Linked DNA regions of Schizosaccharomyces pombe. The protein of the gene in region 3 interacts with the protein of the main gene of each other region in a pairwise test. Each region holds a gene or a part of one and is shown on either strand. Other genes may lie near its edges.

What was found.
Region 1: the proteins of ubx3 (region 3) and tfs1 interact in a protein complementation assay, tested with the Schizosaccharomyces pombe proteins (one study listed by BioGRID).
Region 2: the proteins of ubx3 (region 3) and arg12 interact in a two-hybrid assay, tested with the Schizosaccharomyces pombe proteins (2 studies listed by BioGRID).

Annotation. Positions count from the first base shown.
Region 1 is NC_003424.3:2,114,413-2,118,168, forward strand, and holds tfs1 (general transcription elongation factor TFIIS), read right to left. Parts: upstream 2,045-3,756; 5' UTR 1,970-2,044; coding exon 1,901-1,969; intron 1,844-1,900; coding exon 1,781-1,843; intron 1,606-1,780; coding exon 926-1,605; intron 863-925; coding exon 838-862; intron 789-837; coding exon 744-788; 3' UTR 501-743; downstream 1-500. Other genes in the region: protein dsc3, read left to right, coding at 1-351; ATP-dependent 3'-5'-directionality DNA helicase fml2, read left to right, coding at 2,457-3,756. UniProt on the Schizosaccharomyces pombe protein: Necessary for efficient RNA polymerase II transcription elongation past template-encoded arresting sites.
Region 2 is NC_003423.3:448,828-453,012, reverse strand, and holds arg12 (argininosuccinate synthase), read left to right. Parts: upstream 1-1,987; 5' UTR 1,988-2,009; coding exon 2,010-3,242; 3' UTR 3,243-3,573; downstream 3,574-4,185. Other genes in the region: Clr6 and Rpd3L histone deacetylase complex subunit Rxt2, read left to right, coding at 49-83, 134-258, 308-416, 597-1,024; nuclear membrane organization protein Apq12, read right to left, coding at 3,732-4,079.
Region 3 is NC_003424.3:1,651,937-1,656,363, reverse strand, and holds ubx3 (UBX domain-containing protein Ubx3), read right to left. Parts: upstream 2,300-4,427; 5' UTR 2,081-2,299; coding exon 848-2,080; 3' UTR 534-847; downstream 1-533. Other genes in the region: methylenetetrahydrofolate reductase Met11, read right to left, coding at 1-125; mrp17 (mitochondrial 37S ribosomal protein bS6m), read left to right, coding at 2,575-2,640, 2,758-3,008, 3,058-3,076; mug28 (RNA-binding protein Mug28, implicated in mRNA processing), read right to left, coding at 3,383-4,237, 4,288-4,427. UniProt on the Schizosaccharomyces pombe protein: Involved in CDC48-dependent protein degradation through the ubiquitin/proteasome pathway. Involved in delivery of substrates to the 26S proteasome. Also required for membrane fusion and sporulation.

The DNA.
Region 1 (3,756 bases), 460 kb from region 3:
CGTGGTTTTGATCGTTTACGTGAAGCTGGTTTTACAGAAACCGAGGTCAATAATTTGCGTAGCCAATTTCATCGCTTACGAGGAACTAATTTGGATTCACTCACGGAAGACGCTATCAGAGAGGCAGAAGACGATTGGATTGACAATGGAGGACAAAACTCTTCTGCCGACGAACTTGACATGTCATATGAAACCTTGTTGGCTGGAGTATTAATAGGCTTTTTTGGAGGAGCTATTGCTTGTTATTTTCTTTGGGAAAGGACAATGTTCTCTCTGAGAATGCAATTATCCATTCTTGTCGGAATTATTTGCAATTTTGCATACGGCTTATTACACTCGTATCGATGGTAAACCCGTTCATTTTTGTTAAAATTTTTGTCCAATACAATTAATCGTTCCACTTTTCGTTGCACTTGTTAATTATGACTACAGTTTAATTGAGGATTAATAATGTCGAATTTTATGATCTATTCGCTTTGATCAAGCGTTAACTTATTAAATGTACGTTTAAAACACCATTTGGATTTATTAAGAAGTGTAAAGTAGGATAACTGTAAAAGTGTCGTATTGAGTGTGCAAAAGTAAAATATGCATATATTCATCGCTAGAATGAAAGATACCAATCAGATCCTAAAACAAAAAAAAACACACACAATAGAGGAGAGTGCTTCTAAAACAATAAAAAGAAGAAGAAATATGAAGGATTATTTTACAACCGGTATCTAAATGGGCTGACCCAAGATTTAAGAAAATTTCCAGCGATTTCCGCAAACAGTACATTCACAAAACTAAAAAAAAATTAGTCCAAATATTCTACCCAAATAGACTAATGCTTACCGTTGTCATAGGCTCATCAGCAGATCTATACGGATTGTTAATAAATTTTACGCGATAAAAAGTACTAAAATCATGACAAATAACATACCTTGTTTGCATTTGGTAATAAGAAACTTTTTTTTGCTTACACTTCCCACAAGTAAAAAGGTCTGTAACAGCTTTTTGGGGTTTAGCACCTTGCGCATGGAATAAATTTTCTTGTTCTAGCTTGGCATCTTCCTTGCGACGGTCTTCTGAAGCCAATTCGGCAGAAGTCATGGTACTGAGTCTTTGCGGAGTAATTTCATTTCGTAATACTGATGCTCTAAGTTTCGGGTTATTTTTATCTTTAAGATTCATATACAAGGACCGCATTCTGTTTCGATATTCAGAACCAGTTTTACCTGCTGCTCTAGCAAGTACTTGCGCATCAATTTCTTTGGCTTTGGCTATTATTAATGAAGAAGATTCATCCGAATCTATGACTAATGCATTGTACATTAATCCAATACAGTTGTTGCGAATCTTGTCATCAGTCACATTGACGTTCACATTATCAGATTTAAAAGTACGCTGACCACTGCTGCTTTGTTTTTGAACTTGTTTTTGAGCTTGAGAACCTACATCCGCATGTTTAGAAGGCGTGGAGGAAGTTGTAGTTGTGGTTTTCAATGGACGACCTTTACTAACATCGGCTTTCCATTTTTTTACAATTTCCCGAGCTTGCTCACCAACTTTCTCATTGGGATGAGATCTGAGCTTGCCAACGACTAATCCCAGCCGGGTTTCCTAGCATCATTGGTTAGTATTTTGAATACCGATTCTCCATCAAATGTTGGTACTCTTGTGGAATTCGTATTTTAAGAAAGATGTTATTTCTATTAAGTGAAATTTGCAAAATTCATGTAATATATTGTCAACAATCCGTGCGAGAATACTACCATATTGCATGTAATAAACCTACCTTAAGTAATTCTTCGGTAGCAACTACTTCATTTTTTAAACGTGTCATAATGTTAATTATAGTCTAGCTTGATATTAGCTTCAAAACCATCTGTAAGTCCCAATAGCACAAATTACAAACCTCTATATTCTTTCCCTGAATAGCTTTTTCCAAAGCTGCTTTCGCAGATCGGATATCAGCAGAGTCCATGATTCAAATTAAGTTCGAATACTGTAAACACTGCTGTTGGTTAGCAGATTGCAAAATTAATAATCTTATGGTGGTAGAGGATTTATTTTGGATAACGCGCTTTACATCTCACATGTCTACTAATACCGTTGTGATTTTTCTTCACCACCATAGTTGCTGATGTGAATATCAACACCCCGTAACGTGATTTTGTTAGTTGAATTCTTGAGTTTGACAGTTTTTTTTTCAAGTTTGCAAACTGTTTTCTGTTTATCGCATTAGTACTCGTGTTTATTTTACAACGTTAAATTTTCATGCTCCTCCGCTGACTTGATCTTACTCAATTGTTAATTGTTTTATCAGCTTTGTTTATGAAAAGCAAAGATTATAATGTTGTTTGATCAAATTGAAGAAACTTGATGTTCAAGAATTTAAAAGTTTGATATTCAGTTTATTTTTGAAACTTACTTTGGTCTATGTGTTCGTTCGTTTTCATAAATTTAGTTTCATGATTGTACTGAGAGACTCAAGTGACTATTCCGACTCTGAAGTAGACCTGCCAAGTATCGAGGTGAACGGAGAACGAGGAAATGTTCCTACCTCAGTGCTTTGTAATGTTGAAGGATCTTTGTTGAATTCTAATCCTGCTTTAAGGCAACCAAATTTGAAATGTATAAAACATAATCAAGACGTTGAAAATACTACGTTTCAACTAGACTTGCGAGGCTGTAGGGTTCCTTCTTCTCAACCTCAAGTTATAACTGAGTTAGAAAACAATATTGACATTCCAAAAAATATTGATGCAATGCAAAACTGGATTTTTCCACAGACTCAGCAGTATAGAAATTATCAAAAGGAATTTTGTGAGCAAGCATTATTCCACAATTTATTACTGGCTCTACCTACTGGGTTGGGAAAGACATTTATTGCGGCAGTGGTCATGTTAAACTATTTTCGTTGGTTTCCTGAAAGCAAAATAATATTTCTTGCCCCCACAAAACCATTACTGTTGCAACAAAGAGTTGCTTGTTCCAATGTAGCGGGAATGTCACCAGGTGCTACCGCTGAATTGAACGGTGAAGTATCACCGGATCGTCGACTTTTCGAATACAATACGAAACGAGTATTTTTCATGACTCCACAAACACTCCAGAATGATTTAAAGGAACATTTACTGGATGCCAAAAGTATTATTTGCCTGATATTTGATGAAGCTCATAGAGCTACTGGCAACCATTCGTATGCTCAGGTTATGAGGGCAGTGCTTAGATCTAATAGTCATTTTCGAGTCCTTGGTTTAACCGCAACTCCAGGATCTTCTACCGCCTCTGTTCAAAAGGTAGTAGATTGCCTCCATATCTCCAAACTCATTGTTCGCAACGAAGAAAGTATAGATATTCGCTCATATGTTTTTCATAAAAAGATTCAGTTGATTAAGGTCACGATCTCCTCTGAAATGAATATTTTAAAATCGGACTTTGCTAACCTATACCGGCCATATTTTAATTTTCTCCGTCAAAAAAAACTTATACCTATCAATTGTGAATGCCTTAATATAAAAGCTTATACGCTTTTCGTTTCTTTACGAAAGTATTCCTTTAGTTCAAAAAATGTACAATCTAAAGAAAAATCAAAAATCATGAGTTGCTTTACGCTATTGATTTCATGTGCTCATATAACGTATCTGTTAGATTGTCATGGGATTATCCAATTTTATCAAAAGCTTGTGGAAACTAAAAATAAAGCTGAAGGAAAAGGGAGTGGACAAAGCTTTTGGTTGTTTACTAGTAAACCGTTTGCTTTTTATT
Region 2 (4,185 bases), on a different chromosome or scaffold from region 3:
TAGGTTTTTATGAATGTCACGTATTATGTATTTTTCTAACAAATTTAGAAGGTTTAAGCAGGCGTTATTTGAAGATTCTGATGGTAATTATTGTCAAAATGAGATTTATAATTTTCACTAACATCTCGTATAGCCTCGGATTCCGACTCTTCCATTGGAGAGGCACTTACAAATCGTGGATTAAAAAGAAAGAAAGGATCGAAAAATGTATATTATGGTTGCGTCGGTAACTCTAGTGGCTCCTCTATAGACATTGATGTATGTGTGAGTAATTGGGAATCGTAAACTGCTAACCACTACTTTATAGTACTATAACATTGGTAATACTAAAAGAGGAGTTGTCTCTCATTTTCGAAGGAGAATAGATCCGGAATGGTTGGACCATGATAACCCATATAACGATATAAACATAGCTGGTAAGTCGTACACACACTTAGTTATGTTAGACATACAATTTTTTTGATTCATTGTGCTTTTGGAGATTTCGTGTTGTGTTTTCAAAGATTGATTATGAATTGAATTGAAATATTAGTTATCAGCACTCGCCAATCATGGTCATATACATCGATCGCTTGCTAACTCAGTAAAAATTATAGAGATCATGTCACCGCTGACAAAACCACAAGACTTGCTCACACATCCTGCTATATCTTCCATATTTGAACAAAATTATTTATCAATCCTTGCTTCTTCTGCTCTTGAAATTATATCTGCTGAACACAAATATACTGCTCATCTCGAACAATTGATGGTTGCACTTTTAGGTGATGACCCATCACTACCAGGACCACCTCATGAAGTGTTTGGGATTTCTCCTGAACAGTGTAGAGAATTGACGATCACAGTTCAAGAAGCTTTGGAAAAAAGCAAGGAGTTTATTAGATGCTGGACAAACGTTCGCATGGACCTTCTTCGGGCCATTCGTTTTAAAAACAAAGTCATTGCTTACTGCCAAGGTGAAGACTATAATGGTAATACCCAAGTTTTGTCTAAAAATGAGAGTGATGGAAAACCAAATTCCTAAAATTTATTGATTTCTCATCAATCTTTTCAATTTCATTATTTTGAAGCTGATGAAGCGTATAAGTCAGCAAAATAAAACGTTGAGAATATTATTCTTTATTCCATTCGATTTACAATTCCTTTTTACGACATTATAAAAATAGAATTATCCTTTTTTAAAACGTCTTTGGTGATTTCTTCTGCAATGAAACTTAATTATTTCTTTTACTTTTTCATAACGTTGGGTTTTTTCTCAAGCTTGGCATCCCCAGCTATTAGAAACTTTGTCTTATAATTTGAGATACTGCTACTTACATATTCCCTTTGGCTATCCTAATTTCTATCCACACTTTTTTCTACTTATTCTTTCCAAGGGAAGTACGTTTACGTTTGCTGTTACATAATTTCATTTATCACTGTTGTATATTTTTTCGTTCAATCAACCGACTAACATGTGCTTGCCATTTGTATGTTAATACATTACTTATCCTTTATTTTGCTTTTTCATTTCCCCAAAGTATTAAAATTGTTATTTGTTGTGAAATTGCCCAACCTTCTTTTTGTTAGAACAATGTAAGTGCTTGAAACAACAAGATTACAAGGATTTATCGCAAAACATATTCAAGTAAACATCAATCTTTAAAAACCTGAAACCATCAGAACTATTGTTTGACTGTCCCTGATATGATTGTATCACTTTCTTCCTCAAAACTAAATTCAGACACACTAATCAATGCATGTGTGACAAGATATTTACGATTCCTGCATGTAATTTAACCGAAACCTGTTTTCACACATTTCTCAATTAAATTTTTGTTAAGAATTCCTATACTAAGAAAAATTTTCAGATGTGTGTAAAATTTCCATCGTTTATCTATAAAGATGGTTTATTGATGAGAAAGATAGTAAAAAATAGTGTCGGCTATATTATTACATCAGTGCGCTATCAGTTTAAAAGGTTGGGCCTACTAACTTAACATATACTACACCTCAAGAAAAAGAAAGAAATGCCCCAAGAAGTAAAACGTTGCGTTCTCGCCTATTCAGGTGGTCTTGACACCTCCTGTATCCTCGCCTGGCTTATTGAAGAAGGTTGGGAGGTCATCTGCTATATGGCTAATGTTGGTCAAGAGGAAGATTGGGATGCAGCCCGTGAAAAGGCCTTGAAGGTGGGTGCTAAGAAGGTTTACGTTGAGGACTTGCGTGAAGAGTTCATCAATGACACCGTCATTCCTGCTGCTCAAGCTAACGCCATTTACGAAAATGTTTATCTCTTGGGCACTTCTCTTGCTCGTCCTATCATTGCTCGCCGTCAGATCCAAATCGCCGAGAAGGAAAACTGTATCGCTGTCTCTCACGGTTGCACTGGTAAGGGCAACGATCAAGTTCGTTTCGAATTGGCATATTACGCTTTGAAGCCAGACGTTCAAGTCATTGCTCCTTGGCGTTTGCCTGTATTTTTCGAGCGCTTCGCCGGTCGTAAGGATTTGCTCGAATATGCTGCTGCTAAGGGCATTCCCGTTACTCAAACCACCAAAAAGCCTTGGTCTATGGATGAAAACATTGTACATTGCTCGTATGAAGCTGGAATCCTCGAGGATCCCAGTATGACTCCTCCCAAGGACATGTGGAAGCTCACCGTTGATCCCAAAGACGCTCCTGATGAGGTTGAAGAGCTCAGCATTCACTTTGAAAAGGGTGCTCCCACCAAATTAGAGTGCAAGGATGGTACCTTTAGCGGAGTCGTTTCCATCTTCTACCAATTGAACGCTATCGCTCGTCGTAACGGTGTTGGTCGTATCGATATTGTTGAAAACCGTTTCTCTGGTTTGAAGAGTCGTGGTTGTTACGAAACTCCTGGCTTAACCATTTTGCGTACTGCTCATATGGACTTGGAAGGTTTAACAATGGAACGTGAAGTTCGTGCTCTCCGTGACCAATTCGTTACTTTCAATCTCGCTAAAATTTTGTACAATGGACAATTTTTCTCTCCCTGCACTCGTATGCTTTTAGCAGCTAACAACGTTTCTCAAGAGGTAGTAAACGGTGTAGTTAAACTTTCTGTCTACAAGGGCAATGTCACTGTCCTCGGTCGTAAATCTGATACTGCTCATCTTTATGACGAGAAATTGTCATCTATGGATGAGCTTGGTGGATTTGACCCTACATGGACCTCTGGTTTCATCCAAATCGAGTCTATGCGTTTGCGTAACTCTGATGAAGGAAAACATTGGATGTAAATGCCAGGTCGTTCTCAATAATAATGTCATACTCACCATGTACTTGAGCCAAGCAATAATCAAATTTCTGCTGTGCAAATAAGAAGTATTATTTGAGATGGCTTCCTTTTCATATTCACATTTCATAGAATTACTCCGTTCATATCACTGATAAGTCAATTGAATATTTTTGTTGCAAAAAAAAAATAAATTCTGAAAACTGTAACTAATTGAAATTGAAGTTTTATATTGCAAACGCAAATTGTTAAGATGTTTAATGTACTCAATACTATGCTTTTAATTTAAAAAATATTTTACAGGCCTTTAGCCATTCTTCGTATACAGTCCTAAAATCAAGAATAATGTCGAAACCATCTTGAATGATAAATGAAATGAGGAACAAAAAAGATGAAAAATATATTACTAAAATAAAATTTTTTAAAGCATATCCATAACACTTTGTACTCGGTAATCTGAAAAAACAAAGAAGATAACGCTGCTAGTCAATGTTCAAAAAGATCCGTTATTGATAAACCAGTAAGCAAAGAGACAACCGATTAGTAAGAAAAAAGAAATTACAGCAAGTGTTTTGAAGAGGGCAAGGGCAATACTGGTAGTCTTATTTACAATGACCAAAGAGAAGTATAACACTATAATCAAAGTCAAGATATTAATAGCTGAGGGCAAGCTCAATCCTAGATTTCCATTGAACAATGATTTTAGGAAAGACGTTTCATATTTTTCGAAACTTTTGCCTACATTTTCAACGGTTTGAAAGACTTGATCAGGATTGGTATTTAATCCATGGTCCACAGCAAGTTTGGCGACGAAATTCCATAAAACGGATGTCAAAGACATTTTCTAAAAAGTTAAAATATGAACGGGGAGTAATAGAGATGGGAGTAGTTAGGTGTGCTTTTTGACTGAATGTTGACGTTGTAGGCGAATTTTACCAACGATTACA
Region 3 (4,427 bases):
CGCGACATTCTCGTTATACGACTAGAAAGATTTTCCAAACCGACTGTGGTTTTCGGTGGAAAATACTCAAATGAGTAGAATGCGTTTCCATTAGGAATTTTATCAATCAAATCAACAATCTTCATGATTGCTTAGGGATATCGAAGCAAAATTGAAGGTATTTGAGGTGTGCGCTTAGGAAATGCCCTCTTCGCGATAAGTTGAATCAAATCATGGATTCGATGTAGTAACGATTTCTTACAAATTTTGGTTAACATCACTATAAATACAATAACCCATAAATTAGTACTACACTAAACAATAGCAGACTTTGCTGCAATGCTTAACTGCTTGTGTCAAGGTTTACTGAACAGTAAAGACTAAACGTATTTGCGCAGAAAAGTTGGTTGATATTTCAAACTCCAACATTAATTATTGTTTGATGGGAATTACATTCATGAATAATAGTTTTTGTTTATGTATATCTTAGGTCAATTTGCTAATACTTAGTGCCACGTTGATAGCATATCATAGCATTTCTTTTAAAATCAATGTTTTCAAAAAGGTCCTTTGGTAACTACAGATGTTTATTAATAACCATAATAGTGATAACTTTTAATTCCGGTTTTCAACTATCTCTGAGCTACATATCCTGATATAACCAATAAAATACTCAAACTTGGAAATTGTTTTGATGATTTAATAGGACATCATTAAATAAATAAAAGGTTTCCTTTCAGAAATAGAAATCAGATTTCTGACAACCCGAAATATGCTTCCCATATTCAATAGCTCTCACATATGTTCATATAATAATCCACGGCTCTTATGTCAACTGGGGATCACTATTTTTCCTATTATTTTTAGACTACAGAGATTTTTGAACAAGTGAGGCATTTTTTAATGAAGCAGCTTCAACAGTGACAGACGGATCATCTTCGAGAGTCTTTGCGGGGAAAGGTACGGAAAGGATGAAGTTGCCTGGTGAAACGGCGCGTACAGCTTCATAGATATCATGAAGTGTATGCGAGAGATTGACAGTAAGGACAGTTCTTCCACCATTTGATAAGCGTACTTGAATTCTCGTGGTGGGTTTATTTTCGTCAATCTGTAAAGATGCATGCGGAGTTGTTGAATTGGGTTTGACATTTATAGGAACAGAGGAAGAAGTAGAAGTATCAGTGTAAAGACCACCTGGCATTTGAGACATTCGTGGTTGCATGTAGGTAGAACCGAGACGTTGTCCCTTGCCTGAAAAAGGTTTGAACGGCGCTACATAATCCTCATCCATCCGATGCTGAACTACAACATCAATTGGTTGATTCATAGATACTCCTAGAAGATGCAAAGGTGCTCGACCGCTATTTATATAACGCAACATTTCTTGATTAGCGGGATCGTCATATGTATAGATAGGACCATCGTCTACACTAAAACCATTTCGCCAAAAGTACAAAGTACGACGTAAAGGCTTTTCTGGTTGACTCTCAGTAGGAGGATTTTCACGCGGAGGACCTGACTGCGTTACAGGAGTGGTCGAACCAGAAGCCTCATTTTCTGTGCCTAATCGTTGTCCGACACTAGCCCAAGACGATGCAAGACTAGAAGGACCTGAATCTTGCTCATCTAAAGGAGATATTGTGTGTTGACGTGCCTTTTCGAGAATATCGCGCACCAACTGTTTCTTTGGATCAGGATCACCGTCTTCTACAGAAAGCCCACTCTTCTCACCACCAGTAAAGAGATGTGATTTCTCTTCTGCACTTTCATCATTTCCCTCTAAATCCCTAAGCGTGGCGAATTTTTTTGATGCAGTTCCTGACTTCATTCCTTGGCCTTGAGTATTTTGTTGTCTTTGCAACGGTCGAGGTGGTTGTTGATCACCACCACTGATTCCACTTGAGCTTCCAGTAACTTCAGGAACTTTCGATACATCACTGGAAGGTTGCAACCCATGGTCTTCTTCAGGAGGTATTACTTCATGTAAAAGTGCAGTAGCCAATTCATAATTCCAATTCGTGGACTCTAAAAAAAAACGGCCCTGACTAACGTCAATATTATTGCGATTGCAAAATTCCTTTAAGATATCTTCCCTATCCATTTTACTTCTGAAAAAAAGAGAAGAAAGATTTCAAGTTCTGTAGTGTTTTTTTTAGCTGTAGAACAAACAAGTAGAAATGTGAAGTCAATTGATGACTAAAACGTGTTTGACTCTTTCGATCAATCTTCTTTCAAAAAAAATCAAGATTTCTTTGATGATATACTGCTAATAGCTGTAAATATCCTTTGTTGGTAACTGCTTGTAGTTGGTAAATTTCACGTTCATCTAATAAAGAGAATCTTGCTAAATAAGTTAAGTAACAAATATACGACCCAAACGTTTCGTGTTTTTCTCCTTTACGTTTGCTTTATATTTACTTTAATGTTAATATATTCTTTTCTTTTTAGACTGTAATTTACGAAACAGAAGTTTTTAGTGCTTAACTCAAACCTCTTCTTTTCCTAGCGTACCGCCAAACCTCTCACTTACAGACGCTAGTAAAAAGGTCACACGATAACAAGCACTCTTGATAGTTTGAAAAGTATAGCAATATAATGGTTATGTATGAACTTTTTTGTATAACTAGGCCAGCTGCAAATGCAACACGCACTTCCTCACCAGTAAGTTAGCGGTAATACCTCGTTTTTGCTTTTTGAAGAACCACAAAGCGATAGTCATTATCTCATTACTTTCTAGATACTGTTTTACAATTTGAATTCATGAACTAATAAATTTAGACTCTGGCCATGAATATTGCCAAAAATTGTGGTCGAGCAATCCTGGATAACAAAGGTGTGGTCGTTGATGTTGAGTCCATGGGACTTAAGGAACTGGCTAAACCTATAAAAAAACTAAATCAATCTTACTCTTTTGGTCACTGGTGGTCTATGACCTTTTACAGTAACCCCACAGTTCAATCTGAGATACAGAGGATTCTGAGACTTGAACCTTCGGTTCTTCGCTATATGATCGTCAAAAAAGCAGATAAGTATGTTCTTTTTATAAACTATTTTATTATACTAATTCCTTTTGTGTAGATTGAGTGATTTAATGTAGAATGAGCGTATTCATATTTTGAGAAAATAAAAATATTCGCAGAGCTGTCCAATTATCTTTTATTATTCTTGTTTTTTTGGGGTTTTTTCTTCTTTTCTTCTTTTATAAAATAAACATACTTTTCCAGAGCTAAAATGTGAAATTTCAACCGTTGTTAACGACTCCTTGTGTTTCAACTTTTTCCGATCTTCTTTGTATAATACTATGTCCCTAAATTTCATGGGAGATAGATTAAAAAAAAGAACTGTTAAAATATTTAAACGACAGGTACTGATATTATGTCCTTTAGACATATCTTGCTTTTATTTATTGGTTTAATACAATGTTGGTTAAAGGCGATAGTGAAGTTTTGAATGTGGAGTGTTTTATGCCGAATTTATGGCTTGGGTTTAGGTTTTCGTTTGAAATCACCGCTTCACGTAGCTTAGCGGCACATGAATCTAAACGAGTTGGTAATGTTTGTCTAGGATCGCTATACCCGTGCTGCTGTATAGATTGTATTAGAGGTTGAGGCCATTCCTGATGATACTCTAAAATTTGTGGTTCAGTAGCCATTGGAATTGTTAGAGAGGGCGATGGAACAACTGGAGGGTAAGATTGGCTAAATATAGCACTCAGTCGCTTTTTGCGATCTTCTCTCTTTTCTGCATAATTCACGAATAATCTTTTCTTTCCGAATAACACTCCATTTAACGTGTTAATTGCTTGCACAGCTTCAAATGGATGACTGAAGGATACGAAACCATAGCCTTTGGATATTTCTGTACTGGGATACGACGCTAAAGTGCAAGATTTTATCCTTCCAAATTTCGAAAACAGTTCTTCTAATTGTTGTGTGTTTCCTACTATATTATCATCCAAGTTTTTAACAAATAAATTACAAGGATCAATTGTCGGTGTTGAGGTTGGTGTTGGCGTTACTGTCGTTTCATACGATGTTTGGAAAGAAGGGAATGAAATAAATGGATTTGGCAAAGCAGAAGTTTTGGCAATCACTGGAATTTCAAACGGCTGAGGCATTTCCATATTTGGGGGCAATAAATTTGTCATGGTTCCTTCTGGGTGATTTAACAAATTAGAGCAAAATCCCTGAACAGGTTGTTTTATAAAAAGTTGTAAAATGGATCCTTCATACGCAATGGCGTGAAATTTTTCAATGATCTAAATTAAAAGGTCAGTAATGCTATAGCAAAAAATAGCTTGCTTAATACCTCTATGCAACTTTCATAGGTGCTCACAGCCACTTCTGCGTAGTGAGTCATATCTTCATTTATGCTTTGATTGATGGCTACACCGAGAATGTGACCATGATTGCTAAACTCATTGTAAAGCTCGACTGGTGATACTTTCA